Saccharomyces cerevisiae S288C: one gene and its partners. The main gene of each other region encodes a partner of the protein of the gene in region 3 in a complex. Each region holds a gene or a part of one and is shown on either strand. Other genes may lie near its edges. The genes, in order: UBP8, SPT20 and SGF73. A codon is read from its position in the direction of its gene.

Evidence for each region.
Region 1: the proteins of SGF73 (region 3) and UBP8 are in contact, whole or in part, in a crystal structure (PDB 3MHH), measured with the Saccharomyces cerevisiae proteins. Residues at the interface, in NP_011449.1 of Saccharomyces cerevisiae: Gly24 (codon at 3,118), Ser25 (codon at 3,115), Gly26 (codon at 3,112), Pro27 (codon at 3,109), Ser28 (codon at 3,106), Asp30 (codon at 3,100), Ser31 (codon at 3,097), Trp32 (codon at 3,094), Lys33 (codon at 3,091), Leu35 (codon at 3,085), Met36 (codon at 3,082), Ser38 (codon at 3,076), Ala39 (codon at 3,073), Lys40 (codon at 3,070), Thr42 (codon at 3,064), Pro43 (codon at 3,061), Leu44 (codon at 3,058), Gln45 (codon at 3,055), Asp47 (codon at 3,049), His48 (codon at 3,046), Met49 (codon at 3,043), Asn50 (codon at 3,040), Ser53 (codon at 3,031), Leu54 (codon at 3,028), Lys55 (codon at 3,025), Lys56 (codon at 3,022), Tyr57 (codon at 3,019), Phe58 (codon at 3,016), Asn59 (codon at 3,013), Asn61 (codon at 3,007); in NP_013950.1 of Saccharomyces cerevisiae: Thr23 (codon at 1,715), Ala26 (codon at 1,724), Ala27 (codon at 1,727), Tyr29 (codon at 1,733), Ile30 (codon at 1,736), Asn32 (codon at 1,742), His33 (codon at 1,745), Ser34 (codon at 1,748), Val35 (codon at 1,751), Pro36 (codon at 1,754), Glu38 (codon at 1,760), Lys39 (codon at 1,763), Asn42 (codon at 1,772), Thr43 (codon at 1,775), Gly47 (codon at 1,787), Thr48 (codon at 1,790), His50 (codon at 1,796), Met59 (codon at 1,823), Cys60 (codon at 1,826), Leu61 (codon at 1,829), Gln62 (codon at 1,832), Cys63 (codon at 1,835), Gly64 (codon at 1,838), Phe65 (codon at 1,841), Cys66 (codon at 1,844), Asp107 (codon at 1,967), Asn110 (codon at 1,976), Asp111 (codon at 1,979), Leu114 (codon at 1,988), Tyr117 (codon at 1,997).
Region 2: the proteins of SGF73 (region 3) and SPT20 are in contact, whole or in part, in a cryo-EM structure (PDB 6T9K), measured with the Saccharomyces cerevisiae proteins. Residues at the interface, in NP_011449.1 of Saccharomyces cerevisiae: Lys386 (codon at 2,032), Tyr387 (codon at 2,029), Arg389 (codon at 2,023), Met390 (codon at 2,020), Arg391 (codon at 2,017), Met393 (codon at 2,011), Phe394 (codon at 2,008), Ala395 (codon at 2,005), Ser396 (codon at 2,002), Ser397 (codon at 1,999), Phe398 (codon at 1,996), Ser399 (codon at 1,993), Val400 (codon at 1,990), Lys401 (codon at 1,987), Arg415 (codon at 1,945), Lys428 (codon at 1,906), Val431 (codon at 1,897), Pro434 (codon at 1,888); in NP_014493.1 of Saccharomyces cerevisiae: Phe137 (codon at 2,334), Ile148 (codon at 2,367), Cys149 (codon at 2,370), Ala150 (codon at 2,373), Gly169 (codon at 2,430), Leu170 (codon at 2,433), Ile171 (codon at 2,436), Thr173 (codon at 2,442), Asn176 (codon at 2,451), Thr178 (codon at 2,457), Leu179 (codon at 2,460), Glu181 (codon at 2,466), Phe182 (codon at 2,469), Pro192 (codon at 2,499), Ala194 (codon at 2,505), Ile195 (codon at 2,508), Glu197 (codon at 2,514), Val198 (codon at 2,517), Arg200 (codon at 2,523), Asp201 (codon at 2,526), Cys202 (codon at 2,529), Asn203 (codon at 2,532), Ile204 (codon at 2,535), Tyr294 (codon at 2,805), Ser298 (codon at 2,817), Asp301 (codon at 2,826), Arg304 (codon at 2,835).

The regions. Positions count from the first base shown.
Region 1 is NC_001145.3:715,067-718,630, forward strand, and holds UBP8 (ubiquitin-specific protease UBP8), read left to right. Parts: upstream 1-1,648; coding exon 1,649-3,064; downstream 3,065-3,564. Other genes in the region: FMP42 (Fmp42p), read right to left, coding at 1-379; FSH2 (putative serine hydrolase), read right to left, coding at 572-1,243; MRE11 (MRX complex nuclease subunit), read right to left, coding at 3,509-3,564. UniProt on the Saccharomyces cerevisiae protein: Histone deubiquitinating enzyme component of the transcription coactivator SAGA complex. SAGA acts as a general cofactor required for essentially all RNA polymerase II transcription.
Region 2 is NC_001147.6:45,260-49,499, reverse strand, and holds SPT20 (Spt20p), read left to right. Parts: upstream 1-1,925; coding exon 1,926-3,740; downstream 3,741-4,240. Other genes in the region: DNA replication protein PSF3, read right to left, coding at 52-636; PEX11 (Pex11p), read left to right, coding at 857-1,567; DCP1 (Dcp1p), read right to left, coding at 3,867-4,240. UniProt on the Saccharomyces cerevisiae protein: Component of the transcription coactivator SAGA complex. SAGA acts as a general cofactor required for essentially all RNA polymerase II transcription. At the promoters, SAGA is required for transcription pre-initiation complex (PIC) recruitment.
Region 3 is NC_001139.9:375,029-380,795, reverse strand, and holds SGF73 (deubiquitination module subunit SGF73), read right to left. Parts: upstream 3,188-5,767; coding exon 1,214-3,187; downstream 1-1,213. Other genes in the region: ALG2 (GDP-Man:Man(1)GlcNAc(2)-PP-dolichol alpha-1,3-mannosyltransferase), read left to right, coding at 1-1,036; NPY1 (NAD(+) diphosphatase), read right to left, coding at 3,541-4,695; mitochondrial 54S ribosomal protein bL12m MNP1, read right to left, coding at 5,125-5,709. UniProt on the Saccharomyces cerevisiae protein: Component of the transcription coactivator SAGA complex. SAGA acts as a general cofactor required for essentially all RNA polymerase II transcription. At the promoters, SAGA is required for transcription pre-initiation complex (PIC) recruitment.

The DNA of each region.
Region 1 (3,564 bases), on a different chromosome or scaffold from region 3:
GCGTGTAACCGACAAGATATGGGTCCCAAAGAGACACTAGATGCTTGGCAGAAATAAAATTACCGCTTGCTAGGAACAAGAGACATGATCCTATTATTCCGCAGACACGAGGTCCATACATATCCAAAATCTTACCGACAGGAAGGGCCATGATGTTTGTTACAGTAGCACTGAGAGCAAATATAAAATTTAATTTCAGATCCTGTGCAGTACATAATAATCTATCACCATCCTTAGGATCACACAATTCATGGTATACACCTTCTGAAATTAAAATAGGTTTCAAAGCAGCAAATCCAAAGATAATACCAGCTGAAAAAAGACACCAGATACAAGCACAGGCAACCTGTGCGTATCTCAACGTTCTTGTACTGGTCATTACAGTCTTTACTGCCCTAATACTGGCCTAACGAGGAATAAAATCATTTATAGATGCCATTGTTATCGTTATCATAATGAAGCATCGTATCGGTAGTTAAGTTAATTTGACGTATTATTACCCGGAGGATTTAATCATGTATAAATATGTATGTGAAGATTATGTGAAGATTACGTGCTATATATACTTGCCTCAGGTCAACTGCTGGAGCCATTGAGCCACTTTTCTCACAAACCCTCTTGAGTTCGGCACAAAGTGGCCCCCAGAGTGCATTAGTAAAGTGCGAGAGTCTTCCGTACAAGAGTTATATAGGCCTTGCACTTTGGCCGGCTCTGTGATAGTGTCAAGTTCTCCTTGAACATGTAGAGATGGGACCGATATTGGATGCAGGTCGTACTGTTCTTGATACTGTTGTGGTTGGAACCTGAAACCACTGACCGCCATGAAAAATTCTAGCGGCGGCTGTTCTTCTGTTGTAAGGCCCAACAAACCATTGAAATCCGTTGCTAGGTATCCAGCTACACCGGCTCCTTGACTAAATCCTACAATACCTGCAAATGGACCATTTTCAAGGACATAATTGTGTAAATAGTCGATTGTCGTCTGCGGTATGAAATAGCCACCGGTGGAAGGGTCATTCTCTAGCCACGCAAGCACACCGGTATTCTCACCATCCCCAGGTGCATCAGCAATTACCTCACCCAAGAAATCAGGAACATCAGCTGGGGGAAATTCATTGGGTGCTGTTGGATAGTAGAGTTTATATCCTAACTTTTCCATTTCGGCGCGAAACCCCTTTGTCTTAGAGGCAAAGTAGTCACCTGACTGCGCAAGCCCATGTAACATCAATACATTCTTCGTCATGGTTACAGCTATTAAATCTTATAGTCTTGTAGTATTGCACATTCTTTCTTCACTTATACCTTTTTTTTCTTCTCTATTCTTCCTTTTTTTGCTTTTCTTTGAATTTTTCAAGTGAAAAAAAATCCTCGATTATAGTGTGTAAAAAGCATCAATAATTTATATTGTATATGGGCTAGAAAGCTGTCGTAATAGCAAAGGGATTATATTAGTGGACCTGATTAATTCTAAAAAGATATTTTACGGATAATAATAAAGGTTTTCTTTTGAGACCAGTTAGTCCATTTCTTTCAACTGGCTGTCATAATTTTGAATACTATTTATTGATCGGATCAAAAGGGAAAACTACAGCTTCGGTCCTCGTCGTCCTACTTGAAACCCTGCTTTTTTTATTTGTTATTAATAATTATGAGCATTTGTCCACATATACAGCAAGTATTTCAGAATGAAAAGTCTAAAGATGGGGTTCTAAAAACGTGCAATGCTGCCAGGTATATATTAAATCATTCCGTACCCAAGGAAAAATTCTTAAACACCATGAAATGTGGTACATGCCACGAAATAAACTCTGGTGCAACTTTCATGTGTCTACAATGTGGATTTTGTGGATGTTGGAACCATTCGCATTTTCTCTCTCACAGTAAACAGATTGGTCACATATTTGGTATCAACTCAAATAATGGCCTTTTATTTTGCTTCAAATGTGAGGACTATATAGGGAATATCGATCTGATTAACGATGCTATCCTAGCGAAGTATTGGGACGACGTGTGCACAAAGACCATGGTTCCTAGCATGGAAAGAAGAGATGGGCTTTCTGGCCTGATCAACATGGGATCCACTTGTTTCATGAGTAGTATTCTCCAATGTCTAATCCATAACCCTTACTTTATTAGGCACTCAATGAGTCAAATTCATTCTAATAATTGTAAAGTGCGTTCTCCAGATAAATGTTTTTCATGTGCACTCGATAAAATTGTTCATGAACTTTATGGAGCGCTGAATACAAAGCAAGCTTCTTCGTCATCTACATCTACTAATCGGCAAACCGGATTCATATATCTTTTAACTTGTGCCTGGAAAATCAATCAAAATCTAGCAGGGTATTCACAACAAGATGCTCATGAATTTTGGCAGTTTATAATTAACCAAATCCACCAAAGCTATGTTCTTGATTTGCCAAATGCCAAGGAAGTCAGCAGAGCAAATAATAAGCAGTGTGAATGCATAGTGCATACTGTGTTTGAGGGCTCCTTGGAAAGTTCTATTGTGTGTCCAGGCTGTCAAAATAATTCAAAGACAACCATTGATCCATTCTTGGATCTTTCTCTGGATATCAAGGATAAGAAAAAACTTTATGAATGTCTTGACAGTTTCCATAAAAAAGAACAGTTGAAGGATTTCAACTATCATTGTGGGGAGTGTAACAGCACTCAAGATGCAATAAAGCAACTAGGCATACACAAATTACCATCGGTTTTGGTTTTGCAATTGAAAAGATTCGAACACCTACTTAATGGAAGTAACAGAAAACTAGACGATTTTATTGAATTTCCAACTTATTTAAATATGAAAAATTACTGTTCAACGAAGGAAAAAGATAAGCATTCTGAAAATGGCAAGGTTCCAGACATTATTTACGAATTAATCGGTATTGTTTCCCACAAGGGGACGGTTAATGAGGGACATTATATTGCATTTTGTAAAATTTCTGGAGGGCAATGGTTTAAATTCAATGATTCCATGGTCTCCTCTATATCTCAAGAAGAGGTTTTAAAGGAACAGGCATATTTATTATTCTACACCATTCGTCAAGTAAATTGATTCAGCAAATAGCATTCAACAATAATAATAAAACAAAAAAGAAGAAAAAGCTATGCATATTCCTATCACAGTTAACGCTTGCTTCCGTTCTTTTTTCTATATCATCGTTTCCATCATGTTTTTCTTTAAATTGAATACTTTCCTATGCTCTTAATGAGTTGCGATTGTGCATATACTGTATTTCAAAATCCTTTGTATCTAACTAAGGAAGAAAATTACTATGACGTTTATTCAGGATTTTTTTTTTTCATTCCTTGCTATACGAACAAAAGAGCAAAGGCTGGAAAACTAAGTGAGTTTATATATAGTAATAATTAAAGAACATATCATTATCATGAATTTAGAATGCAAATTTGCTCCTCTCAAAATGGCATACCTTGTTGTTCGCGAAGGCAAGCCCTTGGTTATAAATAGGATATAATATAATATAGGGATCAAGTACAACTATTTTCTTTTCTTAGCAAGGAGACTTCCAAGAATATCCGTCTTTGGCGTCCTTG
Region 2 (4,240 bases), on a different chromosome or scaffold from region 3:
CCTTTTTTTTATAGTTATTTTATATAGTGTATTTCTAAAGAAAAAGATGTGTTATTTTTTAAACATCCACCTTTTCGTGTCCTTATAAGATTCATGAGACTTTTTATATATCTCCTTCTCCATTTCTTCTAGTTTCAGTAAAAATGTGCTAGTTGCTATATTAGTGTTCGCTGAATTTTTTCCGGTCGAGTCTGCATTGAGATCAATCGATAAACTACTAGCATGATGATTAAGTTCTTGGGCACGTTGCAAAAGTAGCTCACTAACGACATTGGCCAGTTCTTTTTCGCTAAACAACATTATCCATTTTATGGCTAGACTGAAGAAATGCGAATTTATGGAATGCAAGTCCAGAGCCACCGGATCGGTCTTTATAGCGTTCATAACTTTCGTAGAAAACATATCTGGTGGCAGGAGTTCCACAAAAGGTACAGGTTCTTCATCTACCAAGGCTTCGTCACCACCCACAATTGCAAGGATTCTTGCTAACCATAGTGGCAGGCTTAGTTTAGTGTTTTTCGTTATGGGTCGTCCTGGGTTGTTTTCCAAATAACCAAGACCAGGAATATCATATTGAAATTTACAAGGAAACTCTGTCCCATCTGCTAGGACATCATCAATGTCATAGTAACCCATCCTTTCTATGCTTGCCCTTCTATTGTAAAAATATAATACCAAGAACAAAGTTGGCATCAATTCCATTGCGATTTTCACTACGCGTCGGCATTTATCTCGGAGAACCCGAAGCGATGGGTATATCATTTATAGATATAAAAGGGAAGTGACTCCAACAACTGAAAAACCGTTGTCTCCATCTACTACTTCAAAGACTTCATCAAGTAATAGTATAATCAATATGGTCTGTGATACACTGGTATATCATCCCTCCGTGACGAGATTCGTCAAATTTCTAGATGGCTCAGCTGGCAGAGAAAAGGTTCTCAGATTACTGCAGTATTTAGCAAGATTTTTAGCAGTACAGAACTCATCTCTCTTGGCCAGGCAATTACAAGCTCAATTTACCACAGTCAGAAAATTTCTGAGGTTTCTGAAGCCTTTAAACCACTTGCAGGCAGCTGCTAAATTCTACGATAACAAGTTGGCCAGCGACAACGTCGTTAGAGTCTGCAATGTTTTGAAAAACATCTTCTTTGCTGCATATTTGTCGTTAGATCAAGTCAATCTTTTGAGAATTTTGAAAGTGATTCCTGTAACCGTTCTTACCGGTAAGAAAATACCTCGCTGGTCCAATTGGTGTTGGCTGTTCGGCCTCCTAAGTGGTCTGGCTATGGATCTTCGTAAGATCCAAACATCTCATGCCCAGATTGCTGCGTTTGTCAAGGCAAAATCACAAAGCCAAGGCGATGAGCATGAGGATCACAAGAAGGTACTAGGGAAGGCATACCAAGACAGGTACACCGCGTTAAGAAGACTATTCTGGGATGCTGCAGATTCGTTCATCGTCCTCAACAACCTAGGGTACTTGTCTAGCAACGAAGAGTATGTTGCGCTATCCGGTGTTGTCACATCTATCCTTGGTATGCAAGACATGTGGAAAGCTACATAGCTTTCTTTTCATCTTTTTTTTTTATTTGGCTATTCTCCGCTTATGTTTGATTCGACCCTTCTTTATAATTTATTTCTTATGTATATGACCCAATGTTCCATGTCCATACCTGTATAAGATTCTGAGTGACAATAGTTCTTGTTATCCGCACCATTAATAACTAACTAACTATCTTTAAAGTAAAACTGGGATCGCTATAACTGCTTAGTTCTGTTACCCGCTCGTGATACCTGACGACCATTAATCATGAAGAAGTGTTAAGATGATCGACCAGCAGAGATAAAAGAATGAGAAAAGTAGCCTTCAAGAGGATTAGGAAGGAATAGTTACGGTTAATTTGCGCCTATATATTTCAGGGATGAGTGCCAATAGCCCGACAGGAAACGATCCCCATGTATTTGGTATTCCTGTGAACGCAACACCATCCAATATGGGTTCGCCAGGCAGTCCAGTTAATGTACCACCTCCTATGAACCCAGCGGTAGCAAATGTAAATCATCCTGTTATGAGGACAAACAGTAATAGTAATGCCAATGAAGGTACTAGGACTTTAACCAGGGAGCAAATACAGCAATTGCAGCAAAGACAACGATTATTACTACAGCAAAGACTACTCGAACAACAGAGAAAACAGCAAGCACTCCAAAACTATGAGGCTCAGTTTTATCAAATGCTTATGACCTTAAACAAAAGACCTAAAAGACTTTACAATTTTGTGGAAGATGCAGACTCAATTTTGAAAAAATATGAGCAATATTTACACAGTTTTGAATTTCATATTTATGAGAATAATTATAAGATTTGCGCTCCTGCAAATAGCAGGTTACAACAGCAGCAAAAGCAACCCGAGCTGACTAGTGACGGTTTAATATTAACCAAAAATAACGAAACTTTGAAAGAATTTTTAGAGTACGTCGCAAGAGGAAGGATTCCTGATGCTATTATGGAAGTCTTAAGGGACTGTAATATCCAATTTTACGAAGGAAATCTTATTTTACAGGTTTATGACCATACTAATACAGTTGATGTCACCCCCAAAGAGAACAAGCCTAATTTGAACAGCTCTTCTTCCCCTTCAAATAATAATAGCACACAGGACAATTCCAAGATTCAACAACCATCCGAACCTAATAGTGGTGTGGCAAATACAGGCGCAAACACAGCAAATAAGAAGGCATCCTTCAAACGACCTAGAGTATATCGAACATTGTTGAAGCCTAATGATTTGACGACGTATTATGACATGATGTCTTATGCAGATAATGCCAGGTTTTCTGATAGCATTTATCAACAGTTTGAATCTGAAATTTTAACACTTACCAAGAGGAACTTGTCACTAAGTGTGCCATTAAATCCATATGAGCACCGAGACATGTTGGAGGAAACAGCTTTTTCAGAACCTCATTGGGATAGTGAAAAAAAATCCTTCATTCACGAACATCGTGCTGAGTCTACGAGAGAAGGCACGAAGGGCGTTGTAGGGCATATCGAAGAACGCGATGAATTTCCGCAACATAGTTCAAATTATGAACAGTTGATGTTGATCATGAATGAACGCACAACAACGATAACCAACTCCACGTTTGCTGTTTCGTTAACCAAGAATGCGATGGAGATTGCTAGCTCCAGTTCCAACGGGGTACGTGGAGCTTCGTCCTCAACTTCGAATTCCGCATCAAATACAAGGAATAACAGTTTGGCTAATGGCAATCAAGTAGCTTTGGCAGCGGCAGCGGCTGCGGCTGCAGTGGGATCTACCATGGGTAACGATAATAATCAATTTAGCAGGCTGAAATTTATTGAACAATGGAGAATAAATAAAGAAAAAAGAAAACAGCAGGCTTTAAGTGCAAACATCAATCCAACCCCCTTCAACGCTAGAATATCGATGACAGCACCATTGACTCCACAGCAACAGCTACTTCAAAGACAACAGCAGGCCTTGGAGCAACAACAGAATGGTGGAGCCATGAAAAACGCAAATAAACGGAGTGGTAACAATGCCACCAGTAACAATAATAATAATAATAATAATTTAGATAAACCAAAGGTTAAGCGACCTAGAAAAAATGCAAAAAAAAGCGAGAGCGGTACACCAGCTCCTAAAAAGAAAAGAATGACTAAGAAGAAACAGAGCGCAAGTAGCACGCCCTCTTCTACTACAATGTCATAATCTACTTAAATAGAGTTATCATTCCTTATATATATATATATATATATATATATATATATATATATATTGTATTAAAGTACATCATTATTTAAAAAAAATTCTCACTTGGGCATCTCACCTCTGTGCTCAAGCAAAAGAATCTTTTGGCTCATTTTCCAGAAGATATTTTATTAGTTCGTAGATATTTTGTCTATCACTAACTGTATGAATCCATATACCATAGACCTCATGCTTCAAGTTCTTAATAATGACCAATTCATCTTTCACCTCTACCCCCATGCACTCTAGTGGGTTAAGTGTATCCTCTTCTGCATTAAATACTTTTCTTTTATTTACGACACTATTGGGAACAATGCCCATAGAAAAATTGTCAGGATTAATTCGGTTTAATATGATCAATCCATAATTGTATATGTCCTTTCCACTTAAAGTTTTGCCGCAATTATATGTTAGCGAATCATTACTTTTATAAGAGTTCCCATTTCCACTGCTATTCCTGT
Region 3 (5,767 bases):
GAGTGCTGCCGATACTGTTGTGGTAAATTCAAATTTCACTAAGAATACGTTCCACCAAACGTTCAAGTATTTATCCAATGATCCAGACGTCATTTATCCATGCGTGGATTTATCAACAATCGAAATTGAAGATATTGACAAGAAATTTTTCAAAACAGTGTTTAACGAAGGCGATAGATTTTACCTAAGTATAAATCGTTTTGAGAAAAAAAAGGATGTTGCGCTGGCTATAAAGGCTTTTGCGTTATCTGAAGATCAAATCAATGACAACGTTAAGTTAGTTATTTGCGGTGGTTATGACGAGAGGGTTGCAGAAAATGTGGAGTACTTGAAGGAACTACAGTCTCTGGCCGATGAATACGAATTATCCCATACAACCATATACTACCAAGAAATAAAGCGCGTCTCCGATTTAGAGTCATTCAAAACCAATAATAGTAAAATTATATTTTTAACTTCCATTTCATCATCTCTGAAAGAATTACTGCTCGAAAGAACCGAAATGTTATTGTATACACCAGCATATGAGCACTTTGGTATTGTTCCTTTAGAAGCCATGAAATTAGGTAAGCCTGTACTAGCAGTAAACAATGGAGGTCCTTTGGAGACTATCAAATCTTACGTTGCTGGTGAAAATGAAAGTTCTGCCACTGGGTGGCTAAAACCTGCCGTCCCTATTCAATGGGCTACTGCAATTGATGAAAGCAGAAAGATCTTGCAGAACGGTTCTGTGAACTTTGAGAGGAATGGCCCGCTAAGAGTCAAGAAATACTTTTCTAGGGAAGCAATGACTCAGTCATTTGAAGAAAACGTCGAGAAAGTCATATGGAAAGAAAAAAAGTATTATCCTTGGGAAATATTCGGTATTTCATTCTCTAATTTTATTTTGCATATGGCATTTATAAAAATTCTACCCAATAATCCATGGCCCTTCCTATTTATGGCCACTTTTATGGTATTATATTTTAAGAACTACTTATGGGGAATTTACTGGGCATTTGTATTCGCTCTCTCCTACCCTTATGAAGAAATATAATGTCTACTTAAATAAATAATGTATACCCCCCGAAGAAAAAATAATTTACATTGGAGAAGAAATCTCTAAATGCAAATAGCGTAACTTGTCCACAAACATAGACGTGTACATGTTACTTCGGCGAATAATTTTTTATTACTCACTTCGTGAACATGCTGGATAACGTGCATGATTCAATTAATTTATTCTGCCATTGTAGGGGTTCACAGAATTTCCAATACCTACTTCAATTCTCCCGTTATTGCCAGAGACATTAATACCGGTAGATACACCTTGCCCGGAGCCATTGACGCTGTTGACACTAGGGGGAGATTGGATACTATTTACGCTAGTATTGGGAGAGCTTATGGAGGCTTTCATCGTCATGAGGTTATTGTTACCGTTTTTACTACTATTATTGTTGTGGGTGCCAGATAAATGGCTATCTTGATTTGATTCTTGCATTAATTTGGTAGCGTTGGCTAAATATGAAGCAGCAGCTTCAAACTTCTGTTGTTGTAGTTGTTGTTGTCGTAGTTTTTGTTGTTGTGATTGTATCTCCAGCGGCGTGAGACCTGTGTCTTGAGACTTGTGCTGCTGCTGCTGCTGCTGCTGCTGAATTTGCTTGCTCGACACATTGGCATTAAATGATGAATTCGTTGCCCCGCCGGGGAAATGATTGGGCACCATACCTTGAGTAGGTTGTTGGGTACTGGCCTGGGCCTGCGCTTGGGGTGAGTGATGTTGCTGCTGCTGTTGCTGCTGTTGCTGTTGTTGAGAAAGAAGCTGAGCCTGTAGAGCTCTCTGTTGTTGTAGTCTTTGTATTTGTTTCGGATTGAGGTTTTGGTTTGTGAGGTGATTAATTGGCTGTGGAGTCCTAACACGAAATTTGTAATCTGTTGTTCTATCCAAATCCAAGCATCCTACACGAGAATGGATCGCACCGTAACCTGGAGATGTATATCCTGGTTTCACAGAAAAGGAGGAAGCAAACATTTCCCTCATTCTAAAATATTTAGTCCTGTATCTAACTGACGATAGTACCGTTGACTCTAGTGGCAGTGGGAAAGATCGGGATACCCCATTTAGAACCTGTGTTGTTTCCTCTTCAGGAGTTAGGTTAACGTGTCCTATCTCATTGATATTGTTACCATTGTGTACAGTACTCTTACCACCATTTTTGGCTGATTTCCCACCATTCACATTTCTTTGCTTAGACCTTTGACCTTGTTTCTGTTGCTGAGTATGTTTTTTCTGCTCTTTTTGTATCTGCTTTTGTAATTTTTGTAATTCTTGTTGCTTAGCACGTTTCTCAGCAGCTGCACCAATTTTTGTTTGATGTTCTCTATGATAATCTGCTAGCAAGACGTCGTAGGGCTTGGAACGACCAGAGACAGCCCTCTTTGCACCCATTGAATGGGACTTACATGTCAGCGAACGTGCACAGTAACCACCTTCCGGCAACTCTACACCACACTGTTTGTTGAAATCAATTAAATGCTTTTCAGTTGGGTTTCTTTGTTTGACTTTCTTTTGTTTTTTTATGGAAGAGCTGAAGGTTTGAGGAGTCCCAGTTTTCGATCTTTTCGTGTCCATATTTGGTGTGTTCGCAGATTCCATAGATGTGGATCTTTTCAAAGGGTTAAAAGAAGAGTCATTCTTCTTGTAATTGGCACCATTGGAATTATCGTCGTCATCATCAGCGTCATCATCATCTTCGTTGTCGTCGTTATCGTCATCATCATCATCATCATTGTTATTATCATTGCTATTGTCATCGTCGTTATTATTTCTCCCAGTTGATTCTACTCCATTTCGTATCGTTTCCCTAGTACTCTCATCTCTTGGATCTGTGCTACTTTTTCCAGATGCTCCCGCACAATGGTTTTCTAAGTGGTCTACAATTGCTGTCAAAGCTAAGGGTTTCCCACATTTTTCGCACACTCTATACTGAATCGGTTTATCCAAAGGATCTTCAATGAGTTGTGCATTCGGATTGAAGTATTTTTTTAGACTTTCGCGATTCATGTGATCATACTGCAAAGGAGTGTCCTTCGCGGACGACATTAAACTTTTCCATGAATCGTTGGAAGGACCACTTCCCTGAGATAAAGAATATTCCTCAATAACTTTGGGCTTAATTCCTTTAATCTCTGCATCGCCTGACCTCATTTTAGCTCTTTACTCTTTTGCGCTTCTCTTGTGTGTTCACTATTCTTATTTTTTTGGTTTATTCCGTTTTGGTAAATTAATCTCTAATGAGCGATGCTGGATATCAAAAAGGTTCTAAATAGTAATTTAGAAATTATTTTACAGCTATGAACAACTATATACGCTCTTCAGCTCCACTTTCTTCTGTTCGTAATGATTTTTGTTTCAAAATTGCTTGTACCAGCAATCTAACATCCTATATTCATTCATTTAGCATTTGCATTATGACGCACCTCTGTTTTCTTCGGGTAACTGAGTGAAAAATATCCATATGCTGAAGCACGCCTATTTATCAATGTTTATTATATTAAAAACTATAGATGGCTCGATGAGGTCTTACGTAAGTTTTTATAGTTCTCGCAAACATGATTGATTAATTGGAAGGCAATGGTAGTACTTCCAGGTAAATTGATATCATTTTTGAATGGAACACGATACCCGCCGGCGTACTTATCCAAAGCTTGAATGATTTCAGTTGTATCAAACCATTGAGCATCCAATAATTCGTCGTCATGATTCAGGTTGATAACCTCATTTTTGGAATTGAATTGAACTATGCCTAAACAGCCAATCATCAAACTGCAAGGGTAAGGCCAGGGCTGTGACCGGACTATATCAATATTTTTGCATGAAATGCCTGTTTCCTCCCATATTTCTCTGATACAAGCCTCCTCTATGGTTTCTGATGGCTCCATAAAACCTGCTATTGTTGAATACAATACAAAATCACCGTACCTTTTTTTTGATCTTGCCAGACAACACTTAGAGTAATCCGAATTGGTCAAGGCTATAATGACCGTTGGATCAGTTCTTGGGAAGCAAACGTTATTAATTCTTGCATCTCTCACATTACAGTATACATTCCGATTTTCATTAGAACACTGAAGCTTAGTTCCTGCCTCTACTGGGAATAACGGAGACCCACAACCGGGACAGAATTTGTACTTTGCTAGCCAATCCAGATACATCTTACCTTGTGAATAAAGTGAAGCATCCTCATTTGTTTGTTTGAAAATGTGATCTCTGGTCACCTTCGGATAGGAAAAAATAGGCTCAAAGTCGACTTTCTTGAAGAGTGTGCTCTCAGTAACACGGATATCTAATCCAAAATATGGTGTTCCTTTGTAAGAAATATTAGACCATTCAAAATTAAATGCAGAATCTGTGCCTTCCAGGAGACCTAAAAATGTTACATTGATGCCTGATTCATCGCTTCTTGAGCGAGTTGTGTTCAATAAAGTAGTGTATAAAGGAACTATTGCTGACAAAATATTCTTGTAAGACTTTACAGAATTAGAAAGCTGAACTAGGTCACCATTTTCGGGCGAAATGAGGGCTTCCCCTTCGATAAATGGGATAAAAACGGTAGAGTCATGGTTCAATGATTTTTTGATGAACTCTTTCGAACATCTTAAGAACGAAACTCTGTTCAAGACATGCTGGCCAAAAAAAGTCACAGCAGTGGACATTCTCTCAACTAACCGTAGCGTAATCAAAAAAAAATCAGGAGCAAAAAGGTACAATCTTTATCTTCTCTTTCGTTTCGCTCCTGCTCTTGTTCTTTATTCTTATGGTTGGTGGGCTTTATATTTCGAAGAAAAGCAACCGCTTTTGTAAGTTGGAAAAGTAGATTTATGAAGTGATAGATTAGCCCGTCTGAAATACTTATAACACGAAAACGAATGCCATAATGAAGTTGAAGATACTATAGAAAATAATAAGGAAATCAATCATTTTTATACATCTACTTGCAAGAAGCGATGTGGCAAAATATATAAAAGGCAGGACGAAAGAAGAATAAAGAGTTAAACATATTTACATGATATATTCCTTATTTTCTCGAAGAGAAAACAGACTATTTTGATTAACACGATTGGTAGATTGCTACAGTTTTAAAATCATTCTAAACTGACCTTAGCTCCTAAGTCTTCCAAGGTTTTCTTAATCTTTTCAGCATCATCCTTGGCGACATTTTCTTTCAAGACCTTTGGTGCAGCTTCAACGAATTTCTTAGCTTCAACTAATGAAAGCCCCAATAATCCCTTGACTTCCTTGATGACTTTAGCCTTAGTCTTCGTGTCGAACGAGTCCAACTTCACCGTAAACACGGTCTTTGCCTCAGGCTTAGCTTCTTCTTCAGCACCACTACCAGCTTCACCAGTGGAGCTAGGTACATTACCAGCACCTGCGCCTGCAGCGCCTGCCATGAATCCGCCCATAGGCATGGAAATTTCTGGAATGTTCAATACGGTTTTCAGCTCGTTGATTAAACTGGAAGTTTCCAAAAGAGTCAATTGTGAAATGTCCTGTACAATTTTAGAAATTTTAGGATCAACTGGCCTTACATCATCCTTATGTGATGGTGCTGTTGTAGTCGTAGAATTGAAACGGGTTGTGATAGTAATAGGAGAAATTAGCGCTGGTGTAACGCGCGTTTTCATCCAGATAGAAGAAGATCTCTTCGCTAGTATACGTAAGGACATACTGGGCGCTTATTTAATTGACTGTGTTTGCTGCTGACGGGCTGCTTGTCCTGTTCCT